7 linked regions of the Xenopus tropicalis genome follow. The protein of the gene in region 4 purifies or fractionates together with the protein of the main gene of each other region. This does not show direct contact. Links are inferred from orthologs where the notes say so. Each region holds a gene or a part of one and is shown on either strand. Other genes may lie near its edges.

Region 1 (4,105 bases), on a different chromosome or scaffold from region 4:
GATTTTTGCAAATTTTGTCTTCTTTACAAAAGCAAGTCTAATTGTTTTTTCTTTTCTGCCTTTATAGCTTCTGTTTCAAGCCCTATAGTTGCTGGGGGGCTTAGGAATCTACATGAAAATAAAGTTTCTGGGCAGCTGTCAGGCAGCTCTGCAAACCATCATGCAGATAATTCCAGGCATGGCGCTACTGAGGACTATCTCCAGATGGTGCACAGGCTGGGTGGTGAGGTATGTTTGTATGTGTATACTAATGGTGTATACCTGGCATTTGACTTCGTTCGGCTACGTATATGTCAAAAACCCTGTCATGAATGTTTTCAAGGATGTTTTGTTTCTTGGAATTAAGATGTTCCCAAGTTGTGGAGTTCTGCTTCATAATGTTTAGAATTTAAACATTAAATGGATACATATTTCTAGCACTTAACTTTTTTTGTCCTCTCTCCTGTGGTAGCACTTAATGTAAGAGAATTATAATGATATATGCCACCTATTTAAGATAATCCTGAAGGAAAGTAAAAATTGCCAAGAAAAGTGCTTAGAAAAATACTCTAAGCCATACCCCACTTTTAAAAATAGGGAATATATTCACACTGTTAAAACTGTTAATCTTTACACTATTTCACACACAAACCCAATTCAGTCACAAACACTTTGTTCGTTTTTTCTTGTTCCGCTCAGGAAGTTTTAAAAATTCTTGAACACAAGCAACAAAATCACTTACTCCTCCATTACTTATGAACCGAATAGCTATTTTGCAATGAACAGTTATTTTACAGTGTGTTTCTTTTTAAATTTTTTAGGACAGTGATTCTTCAATAAGAAATGCTGCTTCCTTTTCTCTCCGCTCTCCGCAGTCTGTGTGCTCTCCTGCTGGAAGTGAAGGGACGCCAAAAGGTAAAGTTGAGATTTGTCTTAGCTGTCAATAAAAGGCACCTATCACTACAGCGCTAGGCTACCCACACCCAGAGTGAGCTCCTGGGACAGGAAGCCATGCTGTGGCACAGATGTGCATAACTCGCTTGTTATGCACGTTTGTTTGAAGGTATAAATCCAATAAATAATTTCAATCTAATATTTGGACATTTTAAAGGGGTTGCTTACCTTCCAAACACACTTTCACCAGAAATAATGTTTTTTTTTTTGCAACTAATTTTAGTTAAGCAGTAGAAAACAAAGTTAAAACTTGTTTCTCCCTCTTGTGTCCGTTGCATAATCCGGGTGCAGACTGAACTGTCACACTCTATTAGATCAGTTGATACATTTCTCAGCAGCAGCTGCAGAGCATTAGCAACTGTTGTATCTTTTATAACAACTTAAATTTATGAAACTTTAGTATTCTTTTCAGCTGGGCCACAGATGATAAATGTATCAATTAATGTGTCGGATTAGAACAGTTTACAGAGGGGGGGCTAAAGTATTGTTTGTTTTTTATTTTGTTATTTTTAATTAAAAATGGAAAGCAACTGAAGAAAAGTGTGTGTTTGATGTACTATCTGAAAACAACTGAACAGCAGCAGCATCTGTATTTATGGGAATCAAGTAGTCATAGTTTCTGAAACATTAAAAAGCTCATATCTCATTTGCATTAAAACAATGTTATTCTCAGTTTTGCTGCTGTTCAAATGATTTTTACTTTTTAGATGATTTTGCTTGCAAGCTTCTTTACACTCAGTTAATGGAGAAACTCTGTTAAATTACTCCAAACGGTGACATTCAAAATATTCAAAAGTCACCAAGGCTGCCCAGGTAGTTCTCTAGTAAATCCGTGGCATCCATGCTGTTGATCCACTCATCAGAATCATTGACTTAACTGCAGAGAATGAACAGATATTGAGCACTCTGCAGTATTAGAGAATAATGGCTGAAACCACAGTATAACATATAAAAAGATAGCATTTTAGAGAAGCCTTTATGTGAAGGGTATGATGCTGGTTAGGTCCATTGACAGGTAGGTTAGGTTTGTTATGACTGATACACATCTAGAGCTATACACATTAACCTTGAAAAACATTCTTAATTTTATTCCTCTTTTTTTTCATGCAGGATCAAGGCCATTAATACTACAGACACAGCCTCCTCCATATTCCTCTCCCAGGGATGCTCCTCCTGACATTCTCTTGGACTCCCCAGATCGAAAGCAGAGGCGACCAAAAAAGTTAAAGATAAGCAAAGATGAGAAGGAACAGACTGAGAAGTCTGCAATGTATGATATTATTAGTTCTCCTTCTAAAGACTCTACCAAGCTCACTTTAAGACTAACACGTGTGAGATCTTCTGAAATGGACCAGCAAGGAGATATGCTCTCCACTATGGAAAACAGTAACATGTCAGAGGGAGATAGCACTTTTAATGTGCAGTTCCCAGGGAATGCTTCAAAAACACCGGTCACTCCACAGGACTTAAGTCGCCCTTTGAATGCTGCTGCTTGTTTTCAGGAGCAAACTGAATTCTTACAGGTGCAGCAAGTGCCTGTTTTACAACCCAACATGTCAGCAGCTGCAAAACCGCCTCAACCTCTTGTGGCTCAATCACAGCCCCAACAAACAGGAAGCATAACGCCATATGACGAAGTGGAACTGGACGCTCTTGCTGAAATTGAGAGAATAGAGCGGGAATCTGCTATTGAGAGGGAACGCTTTTCTAAAGAAGTTCAGGACAAAGGTAATATTCCACCTGTTAAGTACAGTCAAAGCCAACTAATACTTCTGGTAGAGGTTGTTTTCAAGCCAAAAACATTCATTGTACAAATTCTGTGAGCCAAAAACCACTTGCATCTGCAGTGACAGGTGGTTTTAATTTGCTCAATGGGGATAGTGCTTGGGTATTCAACTAGGGCTAATATTCATAAGCATTTTTCGTGGATGGTATTGGATTGACAAAGAATTTGCGACAAATTGCATATAGCCACCTTCTTCAAATATAATGAGATTGATAAAATTGGATGCATAAACTACATGTTTATTTTTTCCATCCAACTCAACTGTCCGATGCGAATGCGGCATGCTGTGTCTGCATCCGCGGCAATCGCTATATTGTTGCATCTAGTCTGAGCGGCTTTTTTTGGAGCGCTTTTGGAGTTTAGCCCTTAGCTTTAGGTTTCCTGCAGATAAGAGCTTTGTCTTTTAAATAGTTGTTGTTTCCCTTGTCTCAAATTTTGTGGGCTAAACTGCCATGTAGCTTGGTTTGTCCAAATTTGCCAGCTGAGATTTTGTTATGGTTCATAACAATTTACTGTTTTTGTTGGGGGGGTGGGGTTCTGTATATGCAGTTCAGTTTTTAAGGGTTAAGGGCTCTGGTACACGGGGAGATTAGTCGCCCGCGGCAAAACTCCCTGCTCGCGGGCGACTAATCTCCCCGAGTTGCCTTCCCCCTGCCATCCCACCGGCGAACATGTAAGTCGCCGGCGGGATGGCAGACGCGGCGGGGCGATTTCGGGAAATCGCCGAAAAAGCCTCGCAAGTCTTTTTCGGCGATTTGCGCGAAATCGCGCCGCCGCGTCTGCCATCCCGCCGGCGACTTACATGTTCGCCGGTGGGATGGCAGGGGGAAGGCAACTCGGGGAGATTAGTCGCCCGCGAGCAGGGAGTTTTGCCGCGGGCGACTAATCTCCCCGTGTACCAGAGCCCTTAGAGACGCAGAGCTACTAGTAGCAGCTACTTGTCGTGGCTACTAAAATTGACAATGCTGATCGTTTACTGATAATTGCCTCTGGGTGTTTTAGCAGAGGCAATTCTCAGTGTTGTCTATGGCAGGGGATTTTCTGGAACTTTGTATCCGTGAAAAAAGTAGCCACTACTACCTAGCTCCGTGTGTCTTCACCCTTATAGTTGTCACTGACTTTAAAAAAAAAAAATACACTTTTGATTTTTGTGCTAGGTTGGAACTAGAGAGTAGAGCTTGCGTGGATTAATTCTTCAGATTAATCCTAAATTCGTGCTGTCTCAGAGTTTTAATTAGCCTTTCGGTGCTTATTATGTGTTTTTGTGCTACATTTTTTTTATATAGTTTGTTGTATTAAATGGGTAGCTCACATTCAAACTTCTAGTATTATGTAGGCAAAGTTTTCATGCTATTGACCAGTTCTGACATTGTACATGTTATCCAG
Region 2 (4,854 bases), on a different chromosome or scaffold from region 4:
TAATTAAGAATTAAGTCTGAATTTTAGCACTTTTTACAGGGTTCCCGATTTGTCTAAATACTTGCGTTTTGGCTAAATGCTTAGTCAAAATGAGAGTTTAGATTCAATTGTATCTGGCCAATTCTTTCGTAGAGGATTCAGTATTTTGCAAAATCTCAATATATTAAATTTAGTGGATCCCCAATTTTCAGTAGCATTAAATATAAATTGTGAAGGCGCAAACACTTTATTTCTAAAAATGTAACTAGTTTATAGTATATTGAATTATATTTCATATATGTACCATGTATCTGTATGTGATTTTAAAAAGAAGTAAATTTCAATATTCTTCTGTTACCATGTCTTTTGTTCTTATTAAATAACTGCATGCTGCATTTGGCAGTTTTCTATAGACACTAAGGAAAATGATGGGCTGCATTTACTGACAAGTTCACTTTTGGTAGAATACATAAAGAAGCCACACAAAGGAACAAAGAACAAAATGCATGTGTGTGTATGAGCCCTAAGGGTAAAGACACTTGGAGCTACTAGAAGCAGCTACTTGTCACAGCTACTAAAATAGACAATGCTGATCATTTTATGATAACTGTCTCTACATGAGTTTCATCAGAGAAAATTCTTAGTATTGTCTATGGCAAGGTATTTTATGGGAGTGTAGTAGCCGTTACAAGTAGGTGCTACTAGTAGCCCTGTATTTACTCTTAGGGCAGTGGCACATGGGGAGATTAATCGCAGGTGATAAATCTTCACTATTGCGGGCAACTAATCTCCCCAACATGCCAACCTACCGGCAAGAATGGTATACGCATAGCTTTGGTCGCCCGAAGTTGCCTCGCAAGGAAACTTTGGGCGACTTCAGAAAACCGAAGTGCTAATATTTCAGAAACCAAAAAAAACTATAAATTGCAAAAATGCTTAAGTAAAGAGTATGTTTACAGCAAGTTAATTTTTTCGAGTTTAGACCCTCTTTAAGTTGGTTGACCTTCTCCCCAAGTCATAAAACAGTGGTTGTGGGGATTTTTCAGTTCAGGTTCCAGGTCCACCCTTTGGTCAGCACCACACAGCTTTACAGGTATAGGAAAAAAATATTTGTGTATCAGTCATTTGCTGCAGTTCCAATAACATTTGGGGGTTATTTGTTGCCCTAAATCTCCAAGGGATTTCAGCAGTATCTAAACAGCAAATTGGCAGGCTCTGTAAACTTTATTCTACCTGGCAGCCCCAGTTCAGTTAGGGACCAAAGTCAAAACGTTCACAACTAGTTGACTGATATTATTAAGACGTATGCTGAAAAAATGAGCACTGACATTCTGATAAGCAAGCAGCCTTCGATAGCTCATACTAGTGATATGCTGTACATCGCCAGCAAAGCGCGGGAAAAGTTTAGCACTTCTGTCAGCTCTAGGGACCTGGCAACTGCTTTACTAGTGGGCAATGCTTCTACACGTCACTCGTACATTAACAGATGATTCGTCCGAAGATCTGGGCTGCAAGTGGCGGTGAGTGACCGGCTAAACCCCGCCGCTAATGACGTTCTTATGTACCATTGGTGCCATGAAAATACTGCTTGTTATGACAAGTGAAGGGGCGAAATCTAAATTGCATGTACTCAATAAATGGGAACGCGATCCGAGAGCAGCGCTGTGGGAAAAATAAAGGTGAGAAAACACCGCTATATTTTATCAAGTAAATGGCGCAGTTATGTGCGCTCTTGGAGCTAAATAGATAATCACACATTTTGTGACTAGTTTCATTATAGAAGCTAACCACAAAATGTGTGAACAATATCTATTCCTTAATTTACCTAACTTTTTAGGTTCCTCCGTTGAGGTGAATTTGTATTTTATGTTTTGTTTCACTTTTTGCTTGATTATCTCAGTTTAAAAAAATACTGAGGTATTTAGATCGATAGACATATTTACTAATGAGGCATTGTAAACTGCATATGAAATCACTATATAGTCAAATCGAGTCAAATCCTTTTTTAATCGCACTTGTGTGATCCTGCTATGCACAATGCACTATAGATTCATGTTCTCACTTGCGCCCCATTCACTGGTACATGCGGTGGCACTTCTGCTCATGCCAGTAACATGCAGCTGTTGGTCTTAGAGACAGTTCAGATAATCTCTAGATTTAGGAAATTTAGCAATATATCATTTGCTGCAAGTAACATCACCCAGCCTAGCTTTACATACTGGAGGATGTGGGAGTTATAGTTTGTGAACAGCAGAAAATCTGCAGGCATTAGGCCATTTAGAATTGGGCCTTACACCACTAAACTTGCCACTGTATATCATGATGGGTTATATTATTATACATAGTCTTGTCTTATTCTATGGCACACAGTGTATATTGACCTTTAACAGAACTGAGGGTTCCCACACAATGGACCTTTTCTGCATTTGAGATGTAGGCAGATGCAAATGTAATTGCATTTTTTTACATGCAACATGCTGGATTTTTTTTTGTGCTTGACACATGTTCATAACTCACAGTAACATAGTTCAATTTAAAAAACACATACCATGCATGAAACTATATATGGTGGATCTTGACAACCTAGTGATCTGGGCGGCTAAGTGGGATATAAAATTCATTGCATATAAATATACGGTTATGCACTTGGTATTAGAAAAAAATTAGCAGACTGCTTAGAAAACTGGGGTAATGGCACATAGCCTTTCTCCACTTGCAGAGAAGCTCATTACCATTGTTTATTTCTCCTATGGCTTCAATTGGTACGATCAGAAGTTTGTGTGAGCATTTTTCCACTAGAAACTTCAGCACATTTTTGATTGGAAAAGTATTACAACGTGTAAGTAAAGTTGCCAGAGAAAATGATACTTTTTAGAGGAACCCATTTTTGAATTAAGTATCATTTTATCTGGTGACTTTAGGAAAATGTATCTTTTTTTTAACCTCCGTAAAATGGATGTAGTAAGGAAGGTAATGTAGTAGTCATGTATGTAACAGGTAACTGTTGGGTTCTAATGAGCAGCAAATATTTTACATTTTGTATTAATTGTGTAGAGATTAGGCAATTGAGCGAGAAAGGATATCAGTGGATAACTGGCATGAAAAAAGGAAAAAGTGACAACTTTCCAGGGGACACAAACATCTGAAGAGTTGGTGGAGAAAACGAGTAGAAGAAAAATTAAGAAGGGTGCAAAAATAGCAGCAGCATTTTGTTGACATGTTTTATTATCCAAACGTGTTGCAGCGCCACACAGGATGCTTTGCCACTATATGGTAAGTACATTTGCAAATGAAAGAGTCAAAGTCTATGCACTGAGGACAGAAAGCATAACACAGCCAAATTAATACTTATTAATGTAAATATATAGCACTACATAATTCAACAGCAGATTCAACAGCAGTAAACATGCTAAGATCTCTCCTTTTATGTACATTCTGGGTACTGCTGGGTTAGACGTACGTCAGGGATCCCAAACCATTTTACCAGTGAGCCACACTCAGTTGTTAAAAGTGTTAGTGAGCCACACAAGCATGAATAAAGTTCGTTTGGGGGACAAATAAGGACTGTGATTGGCTGTTTGGTAGCCACTGTGTTTTTTCTTTGTTATTGACAAGGTGTTTAGACATAAATATGTATTATAGATAAAGGGTTTTGAAGTTACCTTACTGGTTGTTTTTATACAGACACTTAAAGATCAATTTTTTAGGTAAAACACTGAATTATTTGTTGGTGTCTACATCTAAAACCAAGTATCTTTCAGTAACACTTGAATAGCACTTCATAATGTTTCCTTAAACTAGAAGGGGTATATTGAAATGGTACATTGCAAACAACTTCTGGTGGTTGTAAATATCTTCATGGAAAGCACTTGGGTTCATCTCTTTTTGGTTAAAATAAAAAGATAATACATAGCTCAGTGACAAGACAAGCAACAAGGGTTATTTGTAGTTTAACATATAATTAATAGCCAGCAATTGCTGTAATTCAGGGAATAATTTATTGTAGCATCACATTATCTCAAAGTTCATTTTGCTAAACACACAAAGCCACCTAATAACAATGTATTGTGTGGAAAACCAGTGGATTTCTTAGCATAACTTGAAAAATTGTGACTGCTTTTAATGTAATAAAGCTTTTAATGTAAAAGTCCACATTTAAACAGTTGAGGTAAGAGAGTATTTTAGGATCTTATCTGTTTAGAAGCATCAGAAATATGTGAAATTATTGTTGTGTGTTGATATTAGTACTGCCCATGCCAAATTGGCAGCATCTTGACAACATATAATGCTGACCTGGGCATAACTTGTATGTATCAGGCAAAGGCTTTTCTAATAATTTTGAAGGTTATGTGTATTTCACAGGTTGGCTGCTACCAAAGGCACTAAAATTTTGAAACGAGAATACTTAAAAGTGAATGTCATCAACACGTGGTATGTAAATGCACACACATTTCTACCTGTTTAAAGTGTTTTTATTCCTAATTTCTCTCAGTAATTCCCTGCCCCAACATGTTTTGGTTTACTGCCTCTCTGTTGCATTCATTTGGACTCATTTATGAAAAATAAAATAAAACATGGGTGCCAAACTCCCTGTTATGTTTAAACTTTGCGTGATACCTCACCTCTTGCACCATAAAGCAAAGCCTATTGTGGTGCTCCTAAAACAGAATGCAAAGCATTTTGCTTCACTCTGTATGCAGGCGGGAACACTTAGGGGACAAGGAGTTAAGATGTCCTGTATTCACTGGTTCCTTATTACAAATGATAAATACAGGGCTTTATTCTAACAGTATATTCTAACAGTATCACAGTGCTGTAATCTGTACCTTGTGCTGGATTTTTAATCTGGGGCTAGGTGCAAAGCAAGGTCTGCAC
Region 3 (4,826 bases), on a different chromosome or scaffold from region 4:
TGCCAGCTTGTGCATTAAATGTCAGATGTATGAAAACGACAGTTTATATACCTGTAACAGTTTCACCTAGAGAGTCGACATTGATGCCCCAATACTTTGCCATCAAGATAATAAATTTCAACATTTTAGTCACCTTAGCGTGGTTGGCCACCAGGCAGTGTTCACAAACATTTACACGGTGCTCAAAGCAGAATAGATTGGTCACTTTCCTCTTGGGACATTTGCACAGCCCCATGATGACAGGGACACCTGCTGAGGGAAACAGAAATGGTGACAGAAATGCATCAGCCATAGCTCTCTTAAAAACCATCCTTATAGAGTATTCAAATACAAATTAACTTCTGTATGTTTTTCATGGTTCATATTGCATAGAGTACACTGAATAGAAGCAGACACATGTATCCAAATTATTCCCGGTGGCCTTAATATCATAAAAGATAAAACCAAATTTCAGAAGTATTTGTGCCCATACAGGGACAAATTTCCAAGGGGACACTAATTTGTATATAATGCTACCTGTTAATTTTCTATTAACCTCTGAGAGAGCTGTTTTACCCTGGGCAACTTCCTATATGGCCAATGCAATAAAAAAAATCTTTAAAGACATTGGTTGTTGAAGAAGACACTTGTGTGTATTTGCTAAGCCAAGTCCTCCTGACTTTGACACATTAGGCTAGTTTAACTATACTGAAACATATGTTCTATCTTTGTTCCAAGTTGCATGGGCATTTTTAGTAGTTATTTGCAGGAATTGTACTATAATATAAAGATACGGGTAAATGAACAGAATGTTATTTTTCTTTGTAATATGTGGTCACAACCTCACTGCTTCACTGATGAAGAGGAAAGCTTACCTATAAAGGATAAGGACGGGTGGATTTATTGGAGGTGCCAATGTGTTAGATACCTCTCTGATGAATCCAATCAGTAAGTTTTTCCTGGGGGCTGGTGCTTTTTTAAGGAAAATACTGCACCCTCCCAGAGAAATAACCAACAGGCCACAGTGCTGCTATTTTACATGTCTGTCACTAGGTTAACCATCTTTTCTGGAAAAAAATACTGGCTTTTTTATACTTTACATTGGCATCTATCATCAATTGTACTGGTCAGGGCAGTAAAATCCCAGCCCGTATTTTTATTTTTTTCCCTATTAATAAAATTGGCACCAAGCTTCAGTTTTACAGGCCAGATGGCAACACAAACGCTATGTGTCCCTGACACTGACTGACACTCAAGCATGTACAGAAGAATGAATAAGGCAAAATGGTGGAGAAAAACCTTACTAAATCCTTTTTTTTTTTGTTCAGAGCATCATATACTCATCTTCCATTCATATTTTCAAACAACTGTCTGGTTGCTTCAGTAACTAAGCCCTAACAACCACAAAAGTCGAAGCCTGCGAGCTGCAGAACAAAGTACACACACTTGTCTCTGTATATTATACCACTATGTTTCTGTTGAGATTTCAAAGCCTTGAATCCCGTGACAGCCCGACGTGGATGGAAACCTGAAGTGGTAGCGCAGAATCTGTATAGTTATACTATTCGTAGTCTCATCCTACACATAGCAATGCACCTACCTGCCTAGCGCTATATACACACAGCGGCCTCACGCCCCAATGCTCTCCCTCTTGCCAGCACTCTTCATTCACTATTCTCCCCTCCTGTTTCCATCCGGCACAGCTGGTTTACTATCTTTTTCCTTAGACAACCCTTTCCCACTCTTCTCTGCCACGTCTCTTCCGGGTGACAGTGACAGCAGCGTACGCGTCGCCCCGTTGTGACGTCATTTCCTCGACGCGCAGGGTAGTGGTTCTAGCAGCACAAGCGAACGTCACTTCCACTTCCGGCTTACAGAGCGGGCGCGGGATATTTGAAAGGCTCCTATTTAGTGACACTGGCGGAGTTTAAAGTCGGCTTCTGATAGTTTATACAATTCAGGAGTAGTAGGAGGAGGCTACTTATTTGTGCGGGTTACTAAGGCCGCGCAGTTCGTGTATGTAGAATTGTACCTATTACATAAAGGACTATAAGGATCCAAGCGATGTGTATGGCTTATAGGCTAGTGTGTAACCATGCAGCAGCCTCTGGTCGGTGGTAAACCTTAGTGAGCCGCGGCTTTAGATTATGTTAGAAGGTGCTAGCACCACTGGGGACTTTGTCTATAATAACTAAAGGACAGTTTTACAGACGGAAAGGCTATCGACACCAAGCGCCATGTCGGAGCGCAAGAAGAGAAGTAGCGGTGCAGAGTCCCGCAGAGGAGTAGGTGAGACCTGGGGTATGAGGGGCATTTGGCTAACAACGTAGCAAGTTATATTCTTATGCCATATTATTTAGCGCTGACATATTCCTGGGAGCTTTGCAATCTAAGGAGCCTGTAATATTCACACACAGTCAGGCCAGCTTTACCTGAAGCCATATAACCTGCCTGGATGTTCTTGGAGTGTGGAAGGAAACTGAAGACAGCAAAACTTACAGATGTTTTGAAATTGGACGCATTATTGGCTACATCTTATATAAAGGGTCCAGTTTATTAGGGTCACTAATATTCACATTTAGATCTGAACACAGTCTGTGACCAAAACATTGTCTTTCAGGCACTTTTAATCCTTATGACAAAGGTTTGGATCTGATTTAGCTGTCTGCTAAGGGTTCGTCTGGCTCTTGCAAAAAGCTGCTCAGATTCACGAGTCCCAAACGAAATCCTGGATCTGAGGCATCCTTGTTACATGCAATCGAAACCTGCCACCGGTCATCCAAATATGAGAGATCAAATAATAATTTATAAATATTATAGCAGATAATACATTAATTGTACAAAGGGACATGTCATTAAAAGTTTTCAGTTTGCTTATTATTGATATAAAGATAAGTATTAGAGTACATAATATATACACTATCCTATTTTCCAGACATAGGAATATTTTACTTTTATGCAAGAATGTTTATTAAGCTTGCCACACACACCAATATGATCATGTCGCACCAATATATTCATCCAAAACAAAGTTTCATACAATTTTTGGACTGTGTGGCATTCGAATTATCCTCCAGACAATTTTTATACCATGGCAATTAGAAACAGCGCTGCATATTTCTACTGTATTCCAAATAATGTTGAATGTGTTTTTTTTGCATTATTGCAGAATGTTTCACATGATTAAAATATCTGCCTATGTGTTTTTTTTTTTTTTTATAATAATATTCACAAGTGGACTTATTACAATAATTGGTTATGTTCCACTGAATACCCCCTCCCCTTTTGAGTACTGCTTGGCATTTACTTGAATGGGAAAACACTTTTTGTACTAGTAAGCTGATATAGTTTGGGAAAACAGATTTCCCGAGTGATATTGACATTATGGCAAATGTGAATGGGATGCTGATGTTGGCAGTGGTGTTCCTTCCTTTCAGGACCTGTAATGATCAAAACTCTTGTGATTTTTACCCTCATGTTCTCTGCCATAGTATGTCTGGGGATGTTTTGATTTGTTGTATATTATTTTAACACTTGTATCTCATTTTTTGCCACCCTTTTCATTTGCAGGTATCGTCTCTCCACCTAAAAGAAGATCCCAAAGAAAATCTGCTTCAGACAGTCCGGTATGTTCTTTACTTTCCATCCCTCTATTAGCCAGCTCCATTCAACACTCTAGTAAAGGGAAAATCCACCTTGAAGCAATCTTGTCCTGTTCTTTTAAGTTGATCTTCACTTTCCATAGTTGTTATAATTTGCATTCCTCTACCCATTTCCAGCATTTAAAAAGATTCAGAGACCCGGCACCCAAAAGACTATTGATCTCCGAATCTACAATTTTATTGCAACTTGCCCCAGTCCCTTTTACCTTCCAGTCTATTATTTAAACCACTGTCTTGCAGCTGTGGTACATTGGACCCTAGCAATCAGATAACCTAAATTCCAAATCCACAAAAAATGAAGGCCATTTGGAAATCATCTGATAATATACTGTCTACACCATACTGAAAGTAAATTAAAGGTGAATGACCCCTTTTAAGTTATTTTAAATTTTGTATTTTTCAGATCCCAGATCCTATCATGAAACGTTCAATTACGGTCAAGAAAATAATGCCCAGAAAAACACTGGTAAATATACTGTCGTGTTATGAAAAAAGAAAGCTTTACCCTTCTTCTGATATAATAATATTGGGGACTAATGCATATATAAAAGGAAGTAGCTAGTTCCGCTCACATTAGTGCTGAGTGAAGCAGGGGGAATAATATAGCTACTTTGTGACTCACTACAACACCAGGTGGGGAAATATAGGCACCTAGGCTTCATTTAATGGTAATTTTTTCCTGGTGCCAATATAATTATTTCTCTGGGAAGAGCATTACCTTTTTTGTAAATCCTTACATTCCCTGCTGCAATAGTGTCATTCTCCCATTGTTCAGCACTGTAAATCTTTGTTGTCTTCAGTTCATAGTGTAAAAATTCTTTGTATGTTTTTATCAGTAAGATGCTACAATTTTTCCAAATTGTTGTGCATTTTTCTAGAATTATCAGAATTCTTGATTATTAATTATATAGGAACAGAAGTAAGATAAGATTTAACTTGTGCCAATCTATAATATATGATTATGTATTGCATGTTTAGTGTATGATTAGGCAATGCTGATTTACATTGGTGTATTTCCAAATTGCTCACTGATGTATTTTTGTCCTCTGTTTCCAAAACATAGCTACCAGCTCAGATTCCAGCATATGTTTTTTAAAACTTGCTCTCACACTACTTTTATTTAATTTGTACTTACCTGAACTGAATCAGAAGCATTTTTTCTAACATTTCAGACTCAATGTTGCT
Region 4 (4,105 bases):
TCAGAAGCCATTCTTAGCAAAACTAATAGTGTTGTACTGTTTTATTATGAGACTTTGACCCTAGAAAATAAACTGAATGGAAACCATGGTTAAAGCATATAGCAGAGATTGGCCTGCATCAGCAGCCCTGGTATCCCAAGACCAGAACTCCCAGCATCTCTTCAACTGAACTGCTGGATGAATTATGGGCGCTTATGCAACATATGAATAGGAATGCCTGCCTATTCTTGGGGTTCAGTTATCTCTGCAGTCATTTCAGTACAGATTTATAAGAGTTAATGTTACTTTATAGAAAATTTACAAATAGAAAAAGTATTGTGATTTAATTCTGATTTAATATAATCCTGAGTCATCAAGAGTAGACTGTCACTTAGTAAGTGGGCTGTGTGCTTTCAATAATGTTTTTTTTAATTACATAGCCGGTTTTATATATACTTTTATATTAATAGGATATAGAACGGCAAGTTCGTGAATTTAAATCGAAGATCTCTGCAATGAAAGAGGAGAAAGAACAGCTCAGTTCCGAGAGGCAGGAGCAAATTAAACAAAGGACCAAGTTAGAACTTAAAGCTAAGGATTTGCAGGATGAACTTGCTGGGAACAGTGAACAACGTGTAAGTAATAACTCGCGTGTATCTGGAAACCACCTGTGCAGCCATACTTGCTAAAGAATACTATGTGGTGCCGTACAGAAAAGCAGAGAGCAGCCTGTTTCTCTAGCGGCCCTCCTGTCAGTGCAGATGTTAGGGTTTTGTCTTGAATCACCTCTGGAGGCAGGACAGAGAATTGAAGCTTAGTGGCTCCTGGTCCCTCCCACTGTATATAAGGCACGTCTCCACCTTCTTCCCTTAGTTCTTTGTCCTGCCTCGGAGGTGTAGGACAGATTCTATCATTACCATTTTTTTTTTTTCTCTTCTCTATTATTTTTATTTTATTTCTTCACATCAAGCATTCATGGGCAATACAAAGGACACGCAGAGCTGTCCTATTGGATCCAGGATTATACAGGCACAGGGCACGCAGAGCTGCCAAAAAACTGGCCTGACACACACATCATTACCAGTGCACGCAGAGCTGCCCAGAGTTTATTGGAACATATCATGACCAAGGCACGCAGAGCTGCCCGGTACTGGCTTGATATACAGCTTAACCAGGGCACGCAGAGCTGCCCCACAGTTGGCTTGGCACATACTATTCCCAGGGCACGCAGAGCTGCACTATCCTTGAACCAGCACACATACGTGGCAGAGTGGAATACAGCAAGGAGCTGTATACTTGGTGCCTAGGAGCAGGCTTATCAACGGCAGTGGGGCGCGCACAGCGCCCATCTCTAAGGAGGACCTTTACCTTGTGCAGCAGGCACGCTTAAGAAGGGCCCCCCAGTATATGCGGCATCGCTTCCACAACCGCGCGCGTCCTGGTTGCTAGGCTACTCTGTTTCGCGCCAAAGGAAGTGGCGCTCTGACGTCACAGGCGTGCATCTGCACAACTATTCAGTATAGTTTCATTCTACTCCAGCTACAGTACACAGCGATACAGCAATAGATTATCTGAATCTACTAGTTGTGAGTACACTCCGGTCTGCATTAATAACAATAATGGAAAGGTCTGACTCACTTAAGGACCTCAGAGAGGTGGTACAATCTGCCAAAAAGCAGAAGAAGCCTGATAAGGCACCCAAGTGCAAAGTGTGTAAACACTCCCTCAGAAAGACTGGGAGAAATTATTGCTCTGACTGTAAGCCTGCCTCAGAGCCCACAACTTTGCCAGACCCTCCAATGCTTTCTCCACAAGTAACACAGGCTCAGCCTTCACAAGAGCCAATATCAGCACCAGGCACTCCCCCCACCAATACAACCACCTACAGCAGATACCCCCGTACCTATGCCATGGGATACAAATTCCCAGGCCCACACATCCAACCAGGTGCCAGCTCAGTTTGGAGAGTTTTTACAGTGGATAATGAACACTGTTCAACCCACACCTAACCAAGGGGGGCGCAGCAAACCCTGGATTAATAAAAAGCGCAAGGCGACTGTTACACTATCATCAGAATCAGAAGAGGGCTTAGCCTCAGATACTGAGGCAGAGGAGACCTCTAGTCACAGTTCAGACTTGTCTATTCCCTCTCATCCACAACCTGAGTCAGACTCTGAGGAAGAGGGATCAGCTTCCGCTACACCAGAAATATCAGAGATTACTGCGAGAAATGATGCAGACATTAGAGATTAAAGATGAGACAGTGACCCGCTCCAAGGCAGACAAATTATTGGGTGTACAAAAGAGATCTAAATTCGCATTCCCAGTATTCAACTCCCTCACTCAAGCCATTGAGGCAGAGTGGAATCAACCAGAGCGGCGTATCGCTCTCACACAAAGATTCTTTAAAACTTATCCTGTACCCGAGAAATACCAAAAGAAATGGGACAAGACCCCAAAGGTGGATTCAGCGGTTGCCCGCCTATCCAGACAAACAGCCTTACCAGCGGAAGAGGCTGCATTTAAGGACCCACTAGACCGCCAAATGGAATCTGTTCTTGGAAGACACAAAGTAGACCCTTTCGTTCCTTTTGTCAAAATTTCAGAAACTCCCCGACTGACCAGACTGCCAGACAAGGTAGACCCCAATGGCAACAACAAGCACATGGCACCAAGAAGCCTAGCGGCAGCAAGCCCGCCTCACCCTGACTCGGCCCTGCAAACAAGGGCACAAAACATGGGGGGCAGACTTCAACAATTTATTGGGACATGGGAGACACATGTAACAGACACTTGGGTACTATCCATCATTCGGCAAGGGTACAGAATACCCTTCTCCCCACATCTTCCGGTGGGAAGGTTCCTTCCATCCTCCACAACACCTCAAAGAGAACAACTCCTACAAGAGGCAGTATCCACACTGCTACTAACAGGGGTAGTGGAGGAGGTTCCAGAACCTCACAAATTCAAAGGCTTTTACTCCAACCTATTCCTAGTACGGAAAAAAGAGGGCACCTTCAGACCGGTCCTCAACCTAAAGCCCCTAAATCCAATGGTTTCAAATCAAAGGTTCAGGATGGAGTCCGTCAGATCAGTGACTGCGGCCATGGAACCAGGAATTCTCATGACCTCCCATAGACCTGCAAGACGGTTATCTGCACATACCTAGTTCCCCACAATCCAGAATATTCCTCAGATTTGCAGTCAAGAATTCTCATTATCAATTTACAGCATTACCCTTTGGTGAAAACGCGTGGCGCAGTACATAGTCCAAAGTCCTTACCCCTATCGTGGCTTACCTAAGATCATTGGGAGTACACGTCATACCGTACTTGGACGACCTACTGATCAAGGCCCCCACAGCAGCACAAGCAACTATGGACACAAACTTGTGTCTCCGCGTACTGACACAACACAGCTGTTTAATCAACTACCGCAAAAGTTCACTCTCACCGAGCCAGACAATCACATTCCTGGGCCTTCGGTTCAACTCCAAGATGCAGAGGGTGTACCTACCCCAAGACAAGATCAACACGTTGATATTTACAACCCAGTCATTCTATACCAAGCAGAGAATCTCTGCAGAGGACTGCTTGCGCCTCCTGGGCCTCATGATATCAACCCTGGAAGCCGTCCCCTTTGCCAGATTCCACCTCAGGCACCTGCAACACAACTTTCTGCAATATTGGAACAGAAACCACCAAGACTTGCGACAAATAATCCCCATTTCACAGGCGACCAGAGACAGCCTCCTCTGGTGGAGAACAGAGGACAACCTCCGTCAAGGGAAAAGTTGGGCAACCACTACCTGGGAGGTAGTGACAACAGATGCCAGCCTCAGAGGTTGGGGGGCAGTCTACCAGAACCTCACTCTTCAGGGGACCTGGTCCAGAGAGAAGAGTCTCCTACCCATCAATGTACTGGAGCTACGAGCGATCGCATTAGCACTAGAACGCTGGTCAACGATACTCCACAACCGAGCGGTTCGGGTACAATCCGACAACGCAACGGCCGTAGCATATGTCAACAAACAGGGAGGCACACACAGCAAGTTGGCCATGCGAGAGGTGGCACGCATACTTAGCTGGGAAGAAAACACAGTCCCAAACATCGCAGTATTCATACC
Region 5 (4,564 bases), on a different chromosome or scaffold from region 4:
CTCTTTGGCTTCTACCTATGGAATGGGGTTGACTGGGTAAAGGTGACAGGCCCTTGGTTAAATCAGGGAACAGGGCCCCCATGAATGAGGCTTTAGATTGGTGCAGGTGTAGCTATCATACCAGCACACTCTAGGAGTGTAAGGGCGTGAGGGTTGTGCTAGAATAGCCAATTCTAAGCAAATTTTCAATTGATTTTTATTTATTTATTATAGTTTTTGAATTATTTGCTGTTGTCTTCTATCTCATTGCAGCTTTCAAAATGGGGGTCACTGACCCCATCAGCCAAAAACCTATTGTTCTGTGAGGCTACAGTTTCATCGTTATTGTTAATTTTCATAAATTGATTTTTGATTTAGGTCATATAGCAGTCACTCATTCAAACCACTCCCTGGTTGCTAAGCTAATTTGGACCCTAACAACCAGATAGCTGCTGAAACTCCAAACTGGAGAGCTGCTAAAGAAATATTTAAATAACTAAAAATCTATGATTAATTAAAAAAGACCTCCTGTCTCCAAATATTTCTCTCCATCATACTGAAAGTTAACTTAAAGATGAAGACCCCTTTTAATATTTTAAAAAGTATTTTTTTCCTGCCAGTATCACCTTAAAGAAATTGTTAGTGGCCTCTGGGTGTATGGCAACATCCCGTTCACATAAATAAAGAAAAAAATTGACTGTACAGCACTTGCAGATTCTCAAGGGTGATTATCCCATCCATTGTGCTAAACCACAAATCATGGTTAAAAATGGCTAAACCAAAATTTATGGTTTGTCAAGTGGAACAATATTGGGGTAATCTTCCAGAACATATGGACTTTCCGTTGCTAATTCTTTCCTTTATATTTAGTGGCGACACAGGCAGCAGCAGAAGACAATATTTCAGACATTTAATTATAAATTAGGGCTGTCCATGTTATGGCCCTTCAAGGCTCTTGAAATGCTACTTCCAGCACAATCTGAGATTTGCAGGAAAAACATTAAAAAAACAAATCATAAACTCCTTTAAGGGCAGTTTCATTTTTCTGCATCATTTGCACTTTCTTCAAAGTACTGTAGTTGTATTTTTATGCAGAGGAGCAACAGCAAAGTTCTGTTCAACGATGTTTGGAGCCTTTGACGCATTTGCCAATGACTTCTGCAGCGTTTGTTCCGCTGCACGCCCTACCCTGTGACAGAATGCAGAAACTGTTTAATATTAGGAAGAAATGGGACGGGTTAAAGTTTTATAACTAGACTCAAGTACTATTAAGAAAATCAACTGCAAAGTTCCAAGAAACTGGCCAAACAACCATGTGAACCCAACGCTTTAAGCAACATAAGGTGCGCCTTGTCACTTAACACAGGAGGTGGGCGTGTCAGGCTGCCCCCTAGCGGCGCAATTCTCGGGAGGCCAAATGCGCAGATTGGAAATCACATGGGCAGTGTATGAGGGTAGTACTGGCAGTATAGAAAGCCTAGATCGCTGATATTCAACTTTTCTCCCTCATGGATGACTATTACTGCGCTAGGTCCTTTACCGTTGCTGAGTTGAGCGCTATATAATAGGAAATATGACGCGGGGGATCTCTTGCTGTGCCGGGGTAATGTCGGACAGGCTGTGAGGCACAGTAGCCCAGCAGCAGAAAGAAATAAAAGTTGGTCTGCTATAAATAGCGAACTACCTCCCCTCCCCTCCGAGCAGCGGCAGGACCCAGCGCTGGGCTGACTTGCTATTGGATTAAAATAGCATCATCTGTCCTGCCCTCCCATGCCTGGGCCGCAGCCGGGCGCACAGTCCCAGCACTGTTAGGGAGCAGCAGGAATGGGAAGATGGCTGAAGACCTGGGAGAGCTGCTGGTCCCTTACATGCCCACCATCAGGGTACCCAAGTCAGGGGACAGGGTCTACAAGACGGAGTGCGCCTTCTCTTATGACTCCCCTGTGAGTGAAGCTCGTTTGTCTTTCCCCCTCCCCACAGCATGCATCTTGTTTGGCTTTAGCTGAGATCAACAACACGTGAAGGGAGATGCGCAGCCGCTGCGATTGGCTTCCCCCTCCCTGCAACAAATCCAGCCGGGTTATTCGCTCCTTTCCCGTGTTCTGATACAATTGCAGTACGATACATGGCCGTGTGGTACCTGCTCTTCCTTCCCACAGTGACACTGCATCTGATTCTAGCCCTCTGTCAGCCTCTGTGGTGTAGGAAGAGCTGGACCCAAAGCTACTACATTGGCTAATAATGTGGCTAGTTAGGGGAAGGGAGCCAGCCCACTGGGTAGTGTAGTTCTTCTGTAGTTCCTGCTTTTCTGTTCATACCATCCATGGCTTGTGGGGATCCAGAGTATGTTGTACTGGAAGTGCCAGCAGCTTTGGTAGTTATAGTTTGGAAGAGTTGTTATTTGGTTATCCATAATTGTTGTGCTTTGGGATAATTGTATATTGTTAGCTTTGACATTGCTTTACATTTTAGGGGTTGCTTGTGTTTTTCATCCATGATGTTGTGTTTTGCAACAATTACAAATATCATTGTTGCCTTTAATTGTCCAAAGTCACATGACTTTAGGGGTTCATATTCAGTTTGGCTGAATCCAAATCCTGTAAAAAGTGCTAGAACTGGGGAGAATCTTGAACCGGTCCAGGAATTGGCTAATCCTAGTACAAAACCTAGGTTACACCACATTCCAAAGGCTGTTCGGGGTTCTGGGCCTTGCAGCTAGAGGATTCAAGGCTGAACATCAATGAATTAGTTATTTCCTAGCCCTGCTTGTTTGGAGGGTCTTATTTGTTACATATTTGTTTTTGTTTCTTGCAATGTGTATCCCCTACAAAGTGCCATTAAAATTAACAATGCATTTTATTTGTGGACTTATTAAAGCTTGGCTTTCAATCATTTCACATTTGAATCATTGTAACAACACAACATAGCCTGTTAATAAATGCTACCAAACCAAAGTAGCAGGCTTACGCCAATGGCACATGGGATGTTTTTCCTGTCACTGCTTTCTTTAGTGACCTATGTAAAAATATGCAGTCTATACTTAATGGGACACGTTTTAGTGCTTATGTGTGGGTGACAAGTCACTGTTAAACAACTTTACAAGAAGTAAATAAGTATTATCCTTGTCCGCGCTCTTAATACAATTAAATGTGTGTTAAATTAGCTAAACTACTTTACAAGAGTATAATAGTCATCACACAGATATGCTATTGCCCTAAAGCAGGCATAGAACTGACTGGCAGAAATTGCCTAAGAAGCACCAAAACCTTTAAATGGCCAATATACCCCAAACAGTTCAGTTTTATGCTGCTTGTATTACAGGGCATTTGTTTTCCCTCTCACAGTAATGTTACCAAATTATTCAGATAGAAGGAAAACACTATTTGGATGAAATCTGCAGTATTCCTGACTTTTAATTTGATCTGGTAACCTTACATTACATGGAGCAGCACTTATGCACGCCCAGGATTGTGCACTGCACTACTGCCTCATCCCCTGCATATGGGGGTTATTCTCCAAAGCATGAAAACCAGAAAGTATGCATTAGTTAGGCACTGAAGTTCTAGTTTTCACAACAAGCAGGATAGTGGTCTGTTACTGGAATTTGTAGATCAAAATGTTTGTAGGCTGTTGAGATTATTTAGAAAGCACACACAACATTTCACAGACTTGTTATAAAGCTTGTTTTGGTCACACATGTTATTTTGCTTTTCTTTTTCATTTTTTGCCATCTAAAAATCTTTAATCTTCATGTAAAATGACTCAGCTGTCTGGCGTTTATCACATATGCTGGAACAGTTATTTTTATCCCCACACTTAAAGTCTCAAGTGTCGGGCAGCAGTTCATCCTCCCAGTAAAACAGCTCGGTCTGTACAACCTTTGAGCCATAATACTGGTAAATATCGGGGGTTCTCTAAACATTCCAGTACATTATTAAAGAATTTGTAAATTGCAAAATACCATTGGCTAGAGTAATTATTCAATTTCTTTCCTCTAGCATGTGACAATGTTTGATATACCTATTTTGCTACAGGAAACACTGATAGATAACCTGCAGCCATTCTTTATCTCCTCTTTTCTTTTAAATCTGATTTTCTGCTGAAGGGCAGATGTATAGCTTTTGGATGTAATAGTGCTTATGTTCCATTTAATTTAATGGGGCATTATGAAGATCAAATAGTTGTGAGCACATTAAACAAGAATATCCCCAAGCCGGAGTGCTGCGTGATAACACTCTTTTCCACCAACTTATATGGTAATTTGGAATTGGATTTTTTTTTCACTGGAGTATATGTATGTTGTTTAGCTAGTTACACTTATGAGGAATAGTACATGTATGGAATTCGTTATCCAGAAACCCATTATCCAGAAAGCTCCAAATTACGGAAAGCCTGTCTTCCATAGACTCCATTTTAATTAAATAATTCAGATTTTTAAAACGTATTTTCTTTTTCTCTGTAATAATAAAACAGGACCTTCTATTTGATCCCAACTAAGATATAATTAACCCCTATTGGATGCAAAACAGTCCTATTGGGTTTAATTAATGTTTTATAGTTTTTTTAGTAGACGTAAGGGATCCAA
Region 6 (4,105 bases), about 46 Mb from region 4:
CATCCCTTATCTGGAACACCACAGGTCTAGAATATTCCGAATTACAGGTCTCTAACTTTATTTTGCATTTTGTTTTTTTTCTGTTTAATAAAAATTAACTTTCTCTTTTGCAGAGAATATGAAACAGGCTTCAAAATGACATCAAGATTTGGGAAAACATATAGCCGCAAAGCTGGAAATAGCAACTCCAAGTTTGATGAAGTATTTTCTAATAAACGAACCACTCTTAGTACAAAATGGGGAGAGACCACCTTTATGGCAAAGCTTGGGCAGAAGAGACCAAACCATAAGCAGGATGTTAAAGATACTCCTAAGAAACCCAAAGTTGATGATGATCTCACAGAAGATCCATTTGGATTTGATAGTGATGAGGATTCAATCCCAGTATCATCAAAAAATGTCCCACAGCCCAAGAACAGCATTCAACAGCCTTTGGAGCATCTTGCAAGTTCAGACAACTTTACATCCATAATAGAAGAAAATAATAAAGCTAATCAGCCAATCACTGCAGAAACCACAGTGTCATGCAAATTCATTTCTTTTGATAGTGCATTGCATGGACTCAGAGAAAAGAATACAAATAAAATAGAGGATGGGAAGAGAAAACACAGTTCTCCTAAGAAAAAAAACATTACAGGTAATTCTAAGGATTTTGCTGGGATGACCTTAATCTTTCAAGTGTAATGGTATTGGTTTATTAGAAGTGCAAATTTTAAAGTAAACACAAATGTAAGAAATCCATTTCAGCCTGCAATTCACACTGATAATATATAGCTTGTATTTAAGATTTTATATGTTAAGTAAGAACTGTGCCTTAGTTTTAGCATAAAGATTTTCTTGGGAAAGTAACAAAAGGGCTATAAGCAGTCTCCCTGCGAACACAAAATGTGTTTTGTGTTTATCAGTTTGAATTTTCATAGTTAGTAAATAAAATTAAGTTTAAGTGATTTGGATGATTTCTTGAACAAGCATAATATCCAAGGCTATTGCGATACTAAAATTCTACAATGATGTTGGTATATATAGTTTATGTATGTGAGTGTATAGATAGGTCAGTATTGGGTCTATGTGTGTTCGTGTGCTAGGGTTTGCTTGAAAGGGTTGAACTTGATGGACTTTTGGCTTTTTTTTTTTACTTTAACCCAACTTAACTATGTAAATATGAAAGAAAACTAAATCAAAGAAAAATTGTACATGGAAATTTCTGCTAGTCATTTTGGTTCAGTTTATCTATATAGGTATACCACTTAAATGGTAGTAAAATGTAGAAAATTATTTTCAGTGACAATTTGCAATTAGTCTTTTTCTGTGGTTTTTTAATTATGTATGAGAAGAATGCATCATTGCATAGGAAAATCATTTTGCCAATGTGTCGTAAGAAGCATTCAACCTTAGTAAAAATATTTAAAGGCTACATTTTCCTACATTGTATATAAGTTGGGCACATGTACCCCACCCAAATGACATCATTTATACTGCATATATCCCCTCCATTTGCCAGCACCATCGCATTTTACTACAACAAATTACAGGTTTCACTCAGCAGCCATTTTCTTCAGTGACTTTTTTTTTTTTTAATTTTTATTAGGTTTTATATTCAATCCAACATTGCACTGAATATGACAATAAGTAACTTTTCAAAGAAAATAACATTCGTAATAGGCATAGTGAGGTAGATTTGAGAAGCTTTTTGTAGCTCCTACCGCCTTTTACATAAAAATGCAGAAAGGAAAGAAAAAACAAAAGAGAAAACATAGGAAAGCTGTCCGTTGTCAGGGCTGCTTATAATTGTTGGATTGGGTAATTATGTCGGGGGATGATGGGAAGAGGGGGTTCTAGACGGAAGATTGTCTGATAGGAGAGAGAAAGAAAAACATCAAAAAACACAATTTGTATTATATTCAAAACCTATCTAACATTTGTTCCAACGTTAAATAGTTCCTTAGCCCTTAGGATTGTTTTACGGACGCGGTCCGGCAGAGTCAACCCTCGTAACAGCATTAGATAAATTTGTTTTCCATACATCCAAGTATGCTTGCCATAGTCGCCATGTGGCCCTGTGGTTTTGTGTGGCCTTGTATGAATCTGTATGTAAGTCCTCAAATTTGCTCTTCAGTGACGTTCAGTGAAGTTTATGCAATGAAGAAAGCAGTATTACAAAGGCAGAACTTAATTTAAAAAAAAAAAGTCCTGCTTGGACTGAGCACTGTATTGTTAAGGACAGAAGGTTAGGTGAGAACAGCTCAGTATCTATGTAAACCCACAGTGCCATCTCTTCATTGGCTGCTAGACTTGAGGGTGTGTTTGGAAACCTGAGATGAGAAGAACTGAGCATGATCAGTAAGCCAAGAGCTAAAGTCAATTCCTAAAGGAGGGGGCGAGTAAGTTACAGGAGGAGAAGGAATCCCAAGTGATTAAAGGGATGATGTAGCCTTACTAATGACCTTCAAGCAAACGGAGTGGCTGGTATTTATAGATTTCTAAGAGGCTGTATACTGACTACATTTTTGTGTGGGGGGTTTACATGTACTTTAAGGAGTCTCAACATCAATCTAGCATTTTTTTTTTCTTGTTCTTTATTCTACTTCCCTCTCTGAATCTTTTCAGTAGTCAAAGTGTTAATTTATATGTGTTATAAGTGTTTGGATACTTAGATTACTATATAAAAAGACTAGTTGGTGAGTGATTATTTATAGAGTTTTTGGTCAGTTCAGATTTGCATTTCACACAAAAAAATGTAAGATTGGAGTTATTTTTAAAGAAAATTATAAACCAGCATTTATAAGGACTATTATACAATTGCAATGATTAACAGAAGATTTTATGATTTTTATGTAAAACTTGGCATGCTATTATATGAAAAAAACGTTGATGCTAGTCTCTCACAGTCTGTATACAGGCATTGTACTACTGATATAGCGTATCTACAAAACATTTTGTACACTGTATCTTTATTATCTCCAAAATCCCAACAGTACAGAAAAATGTTATAGTAAAAAAGCCATGACTTTTTACACTCTAAAGTGTAAGGCAGTGACAGTGACACAAGGAGAGTTTAATTGCCCATGGTTAAATCTCCTTCTGTGACTAATCTCCCTGATATTCCTTTCCACCAGCAATAAACTGAATTGCTAGTGGAAAGGCCTATGTGTTTTCTGAAGTCGCCCGAAGTTTCCTGCTTTTTTTTTTTCTTTAAGCAAGAAAACATTCATTAGAAAACCATTTGTCACTATCATTGCTCTAATTGTAAGCTGGTAGCTTTTAGCTCAAATGAGTTTAATTTAATTCTAAGCAGCTTTTCATTATACATAAATTAAAAATGTGATGTAATTCCAATTTAGTTAATCCATTGCCTTCTGCTACATTGTTTCATGAGTCAGAACTGGCAGTTTTGAGAATATACACAGGCCAGTAGATATTGCTTTAACATTGCATTTATATTTATAAATAAACAATCACTGAAAAAAATGTTTTACTTGTATATTAGAACATTGCTGAAAGGGGCGGTATATACCCTTTTTAGCATGAGCTCAGTAAATCAGGCTTGTACCAAACATACTTTTTTTTTCTTAATATTTTAATTTGGAGATATGTTTTTATTATTACTTGCATTATATAGGAAAATTAAAACTTTCACTATCTTCATGCAGTATTAAATCTTCAGGATAAAATTTTTCAGAATTATATATCTGTTGGTTCCCACAATGTTACAGGTTTTGGGCTGTCTATACATACAAAGTGACATTTGTAAAAAAAAATTAAAATGCATCATTCGTATTTTATAATCTCCTTAAGCCACATAGTTTAGGTAATTATATGCAGCATCAAATATTTCTGTGGGCATGCATAATGTATAATGATTTGTCTTCTGTTGTAGCACATATAGAAGGTAAGATGCAGCAAAGTGCCAGTTTTGAGTCAGTTATGTTAAAGGAGAAGGAAAGGCTAAGTCATTTGGGGGTGCCAAAATGTTAGGCACCCCCAAGTGACTTAATCGCTTACCTTGTACCCCGGGCTGGTGCCCCTGTACGGAGAGAACAGCACCAGCCCGGGGTAGCAGCGAGCACTTCCCTCTTCCTGCTTCATTTTGCGGGACCCCACGACC
Region 7 (4,105 bases), on a different chromosome or scaffold from region 4:
TGTGCAAACAATATATTATATATATATACATACATACATACATACATACACACACATATACAGCACATCAATAAGAAGCAAATAAGAGTTTTTAGAAGAAAAGGGGGATGGCAGAAATAAATATACAGTAGTCTACAGTTTTATACAGGTCATGGAACTCCTAGGTGAAGTCTAACATCCTCATTTTCTGTACCACCAGACCACTATATATTAATGCTCCTACATATTAGCTACAAAAGGGAATATTCATAGGCTAGACTCTCCTGATTTCTTCTAGGTGGGCCAAAAACACCACGTTTAACACTGGCGCAGGGGCTAGACAATTATGCTTATCAGTAATATCTGGGCTAACAAATTCACATTTTTCAATGACACAGAAAGGTTACTTTAATGGTAGGGTTTCTTTAATATTAAAGCATCTTACTTACCTTGAGCTTGAACTCCAACTGAGGTAAAACGGAAAGAAGCAAATGACTATCAATGTTGTAGAGCTCCAGTATCAGATCAAAGACGTGCTCTGACAAATCACTGATGGAGGTTTTACCAAGCATCAAAACTTGGTTAAAAAACTGCAAATGCAAAAAAAGTGTAAAATTAGTATAAAATGGACCGATTTACTTCACCCCTTTGAATGGCGGTCCCCATGGCTACACAGCAGCCTATTTATATAAACTATAGTAGGGTTTCTGTAGCAAACACACCTGTTTTTACAAGTGCAGGGCAACATTACATTATATTTTAATTACTTTAAAACACTTTCATATTTTGGTGTTACGGTTCCAATTTTTATTTAAATCAATGGGAACAATTACAAAAGACAAAGGTTGTAAATGTTAGTTTTCTACCTGTACCCATTTCTATGCCAATTTTTATATAATCTGATTTATTGCTAAACTTTTAATTTGTGTATTCATTCACTATGAAATACAGGTATATCCAACCAGGTAATAAAGATGTCTCAGAGTGCAAATTCTGCTGTTAAAATATATGATGGAACGAGCACTATCCATGTACTGTGACGGTCAGTCATTGGTTAATTGGGCATGAATTTCATATGTCAATGCACCATGAACCAGGCCATTGGGAACTGGAAGATGACAAACCAAAGCTTATCTTCACTGGGCTTTCAGTCCAAACAAATTTAACAACAGGCTTTCAGCTCAACAGCTTTTTAAAGGACAGTGTCAGCAACCCTAAAGGCAGTGGCTAACAAGATTTGTGGCCAGCTGATAATCTGCAATACCTGCGGATGTCAAATCGCTACAAATCTCAACAAACCTGAAAATACCTCTCTTCACTAACATTCTGATCATTGCATGTAAAATGCTTTTCATGTGGCGATCTGGCTAAAAGGGGTTGTTCACCTTCAGATTTTAGTATGACATGTACAATGATATTTTGACAACAACAACAACAACTTGCAATTGGTTTCCATTTCAGCAGCTATACGGTTGTTAGTATGTTGTTTACCTTAGCAACCAGGCAGTGGTTTAAATGAGAGACTGGCATATGACTAGGAGAGGGACTTATAAAAATAAAAGCAATAAAAAGTAACAATAATAATAAAATTATAAGCTCACAGAGTAATAGTTTTTTTTGGCTGCCGGGGTCAGTGACCCCCATTTGAAAGCTGGAAAGATGTAGAAGACAGAACTAATACAAAAATTATACAAAATAAATAAGAAAGACCAATTAAAAAGTTGCTAGGAATAGAACATTCTATAACTTACTAAAAGTTAACATAAAGGTGAATCAGGTGTTTTAACATGGCAATCAGAATGTTAGCAAAGAGGTATGCTTAAGATTTTTCACCCACAGTAGCAAAGATTTCCCCCTCTGCCATGGCGCTAATTGTTTATGCATATTCTGGATCCATTTTAGGGCAGTGGTAGACAGAGAGATTAGTTGCCCACGTCAAATCGCCCTTGTTTCGGGCGACTAATCTCCCCGATATGCCATTCCACCGGCTTGAATGTAGATCGTGGGTGGGATGGCATATGCAGCACTGTGATTTCCCAAAATCGCGTCGCTGCATATGCCATCCCACCGGCGATTTACATTCAATCCAGTGGGATGTCATATTGGGGAGATTAGTTGCTGACTCCCAGTTGAGCCAAAACCTGTTATCAGAAGTCTAAACATAAAAATATCTCAGAAAATGAAGGTAAAGAGTACAAGGGTACAGAAAAGCACCATTAGTATATTTGCATCAATTCATTTCATTGGTTTTCCCTTTAAGAAAAATAACAGTATTAAAAATAATTACTTTTTAAGTTGAAACTTACATTTGTAATATATGGTTCAATAGCTTGAGCGGTTCTCTTAAGCAGAGCTTTTGCCAGGTCATAAGCTTGTTTGTTTAAATTCTGAAACCAAAAACACACATTATTTGGTTGGTATCATTCTAGAACCACAGGCCAATACCTGAAACCCAAACAATTTACCACAGATAATGTAAAAAGTGGAAAATGTCCTTATTATTACTGTATATCATACACTATATACATACACGCACACATGCATTTAAATACATAAACACACATTTACAATAGAGAACTGTACATTCAGTTGGAGGGGTGAGGGACATAAAAGGTGATTTGTTGTATTAGCTTTTCATCCAACCGTTCGGCCAGGAAGTTACCAGAAGTGCTTTTTATTTTCTTGTTTAGTGCCAGAAACAATAGATATTTTCTTACTAACACAATAGCCAAAAAGCATGTTATGTACATGCCCCATTTATCAAGCTCATGTTGAAAACCGGAGTATACTGTCCATTTAAGGGTGTAAAGACATAGAGTTGCTAGAAGCAGCTACTTGTCATGGCTACTGTAAAAGACAATGCGCATCATTTTCAGCATCAGTATGTATAACTGTGAATGAGGGAATATGGATGAGTTAGGTAGCCCTGTGGTACATCACAAGAGAAAGAACCAACAGGCAGTAAATAAGACATCCGAGTGTTAAAAAATAATACAATTAACAATTTATCATCTTGTGGGAAAATGTTTCACTTAATTTCGGATGCCTTTTTTGTAACCAATGAGGAACAATACAAGTTTTCAAATTCTTTTAAATCTGCTTACGAAAACATAAAAACCACAACATATTAATTGATATTTGCCTTCTGTGTAGCACAAAGCAACTATTTTGCAATATACAGGAGAAAGGTGCAGCTGGGACAAGCAGAAGAAAGGCACTGGCGAAAGCAGTATAACTCTACTGGGGATACATGTAAAGCGGAAGCCAGGGGATGGTCATAAAATGTGAAACGGTAATAACATTAGTTGTTTAAAATGCAAACAACGTTTGTTTCATACTAAAAAAAACAGTAAAAAATATTTAGTAGATGTATTTTCGAAAACAGTTGCCTATTCCAGACAGAACACAAATATCAATTAAAATATTTTGCCTTTAGAATCCTTAGTTTAAGTTTTACAACTCAACGCATGAGTTTTTCTGAGGGTGCAAAAACAGTTCAAAGAACAGTAGAATATATATAATCTATATACCAGTTTTATTATTAGCAATACACCCATAATATTGAGAAATATATACCTTGTGTGCAGGAACCAAGTTGACAAGGACACTATCGAGCAGCTCCTGAGAAACGGTATCGCCTTCACAAACTATAGAGCTCATTAAATCCACCATATGCATATGAACTTTCTGATTGTGTCCATTACTAAAAATCAAGGAAATTGGCAAAGTTACTTTTTCAATTAAAAATGTCTATGCAGTCTCCCTTATCCTTATTAAAAAGCAACAGTTTTACTGAGTCAATGATCTGTAATGGAACATACAAATGCCTTTTTGACATCTGTACCATTTAATTCATAAACCTCATGACGTTTATCTGTTAGAATAGCGCAAGTTGTGCTGTGCATAAGCATTATACAGAACAGCACTTGCAGGTAGGAAATATAATGTTATTCTCCTGAAGGACATAAAGATGGAGACAACTTTAGTAAGACAAATTGCAGAACAGCTCCTATCTATACTTTTTAGGGGAAAAGGATGTCTTGCCTGCCTAAATCACAATATCTAATAATAAGTAAAAAACTTTTTCTCTCTCTAAAGTTACTCAATAGTACCCAGAATAACAATA

Evidence for each region.
Region 1: the proteins of smc3 (region 4) and nipbl purify together in Homo sapiens (affinity purification with western blotting; 4 studies listed by BioGRID, with this or other methods). This does not show direct contact. The link is inferred for Xenopus tropicalis from reciprocal best matches to the Homo sapiens genes SMC3 and NIPBL.
Region 2: the proteins of smc3 (region 4) and rec8 purify together in Homo sapiens (affinity purification with mass spectrometry; 3 studies listed by BioGRID and IntAct, with this or other methods). This does not show direct contact. The link is inferred for Xenopus tropicalis from reciprocal best matches to the Homo sapiens genes SMC3 and REC8.
Region 3: the proteins of smc3 (region 4) and cdca5 purify together in Homo sapiens (affinity purification with mass spectrometry; 7 studies listed by BioGRID and IntAct, counting the BioPlex papers as one, with this or other methods). This does not show direct contact. The link is inferred for Xenopus tropicalis from reciprocal best matches to the Homo sapiens genes SMC3 and CDCA5.
Region 5: the proteins of smc3 (region 4) and usp13 purify together in Homo sapiens (affinity purification with mass spectrometry; 4 studies listed by BioGRID and IntAct, with this or other methods). This does not show direct contact. The link is inferred for Xenopus tropicalis from reciprocal best matches to the Homo sapiens genes SMC3 and USP13.
Region 6: the proteins of smc3 (region 4) and wapl purify together in Homo sapiens (affinity purification with mass spectrometry; 7 studies listed by BioGRID and IntAct, with this or other methods). This does not show direct contact. The link is inferred for Xenopus tropicalis from reciprocal best matches to the Homo sapiens genes SMC3 and WAPL.
Region 7: the proteins of smc3 (region 4) and pds5b purify together in Homo sapiens (co-immunoprecipitation; 7 studies listed by BioGRID and IntAct, with this or other methods). This does not show direct contact. The link is inferred for Xenopus tropicalis from reciprocal best matches to the Homo sapiens genes SMC3 and PDS5B.

The regions. Positions count from the first base shown.
Region 1 is NC_030677.2:197,901,268-197,905,372, reverse strand, and holds part of nipbl (nipped-B-like protein), read left to right. Parts: intron 1-67; coding exon 68-228; intron 229-800; coding exon 801-894; intron 895-2,043; coding exon 2,044-2,661; intron 2,662-4,105. UniProt on the Homo sapiens protein: Plays an important role in the loading of the cohesin complex on to DNA. Forms a heterodimeric complex (also known as cohesin loading complex) with MAU2/SCC4 which mediates the loading of the cohesin complex onto chromatin.
Region 2 is NC_030677.2:139,340,360-139,345,213, reverse strand, and holds the start of rec8 (meiotic recombination protein REC8 homolog), read left to right. Parts: upstream 1-1,586; 5' UTR 1,587-1,658; intron 1,659-3,033; 5' UTR 3,034-3,196; coding exon 3,197-3,252; intron 3,253-4,341; coding exon 4,342-4,410; intron 4,411-4,854. UniProt on the Homo sapiens protein: Required during meiosis for separation of sister chromatids and homologous chromosomes.
Region 3 is NC_030680.2:33,589,570-33,594,395, reverse strand, and holds the start of cdca5 (sororin), read left to right. Parts: upstream 1-1,847; 5' UTR 1,848-2,216; coding exon 2,217-2,268; intron 2,269-3,549; coding exon 3,550-3,605; intron 3,606-4,044; coding exon 4,045-4,107; intron 4,108-4,826. Other genes in the region: zfpl1 (zinc finger protein-like 1), read right to left, coding at 134-235. UniProt on the Homo sapiens protein: Regulator of sister chromatid cohesion in mitosis stabilizing cohesin complex association with chromatin. May antagonize the action of WAPL which stimulates cohesin dissociation from chromatin.
Region 4 is NC_030683.2:2,842,093-2,846,197, reverse strand, and holds part of smc3 (structural maintenance of chromosomes protein 3), read left to right. Parts: intron 1-449; coding exon 450-614; intron 615-4,105. UniProt on the Homo sapiens protein: Central component of cohesin, a complex required for chromosome cohesion during the cell cycle. The cohesin complex may form a large proteinaceous ring within which sister chromatids can be trapped.
Region 5 is NC_030681.2:108,744,749-108,749,312, reverse strand, and holds the start of usp13 (ubiquitin carboxyl-terminal hydrolase 13), read left to right. Parts: upstream 1-1,388; 5' UTR 1,389-1,811; coding exon 1,812-1,922; intron 1,923-4,564. UniProt on the Homo sapiens protein: Deubiquitinase that mediates deubiquitination of target proteins such as BECN1, MITF, SKP2 and USP10 and is involved in various processes such as autophagy, endoplasmic reticulum-associated degradation (ERAD), cell cycle progression or DNA damage response.
Region 6 is NC_030683.2:49,072,973-49,077,077, reverse strand, and holds part of wapl (wings apart-like protein homolog), read left to right. Parts: intron 1-113; 5' UTR 114-135; coding exon 136-637; intron 638-4,105. UniProt on the Homo sapiens protein: Regulator of sister chromatid cohesion in mitosis which negatively regulates cohesin association with chromatin. Involved in both sister chromatid cohesion during interphase and sister-chromatid resolution during early stages of mitosis.
Region 7 is NC_030678.2:153,095,865-153,099,969, forward strand, and holds part of pds5b (sister chromatid cohesion protein PDS5 homolog B), read right to left. Parts: intron 3,683-4,105; coding exon 3,556-3,682; intron 2,367-3,555; coding exon 2,286-2,366; intron 570-2,285; coding exon 429-569; intron 1-428. UniProt on the Homo sapiens protein: Regulator of sister chromatid cohesion in mitosis which may stabilize cohesin complex association with chromatin. May couple sister chromatid cohesion during mitosis to DNA replication.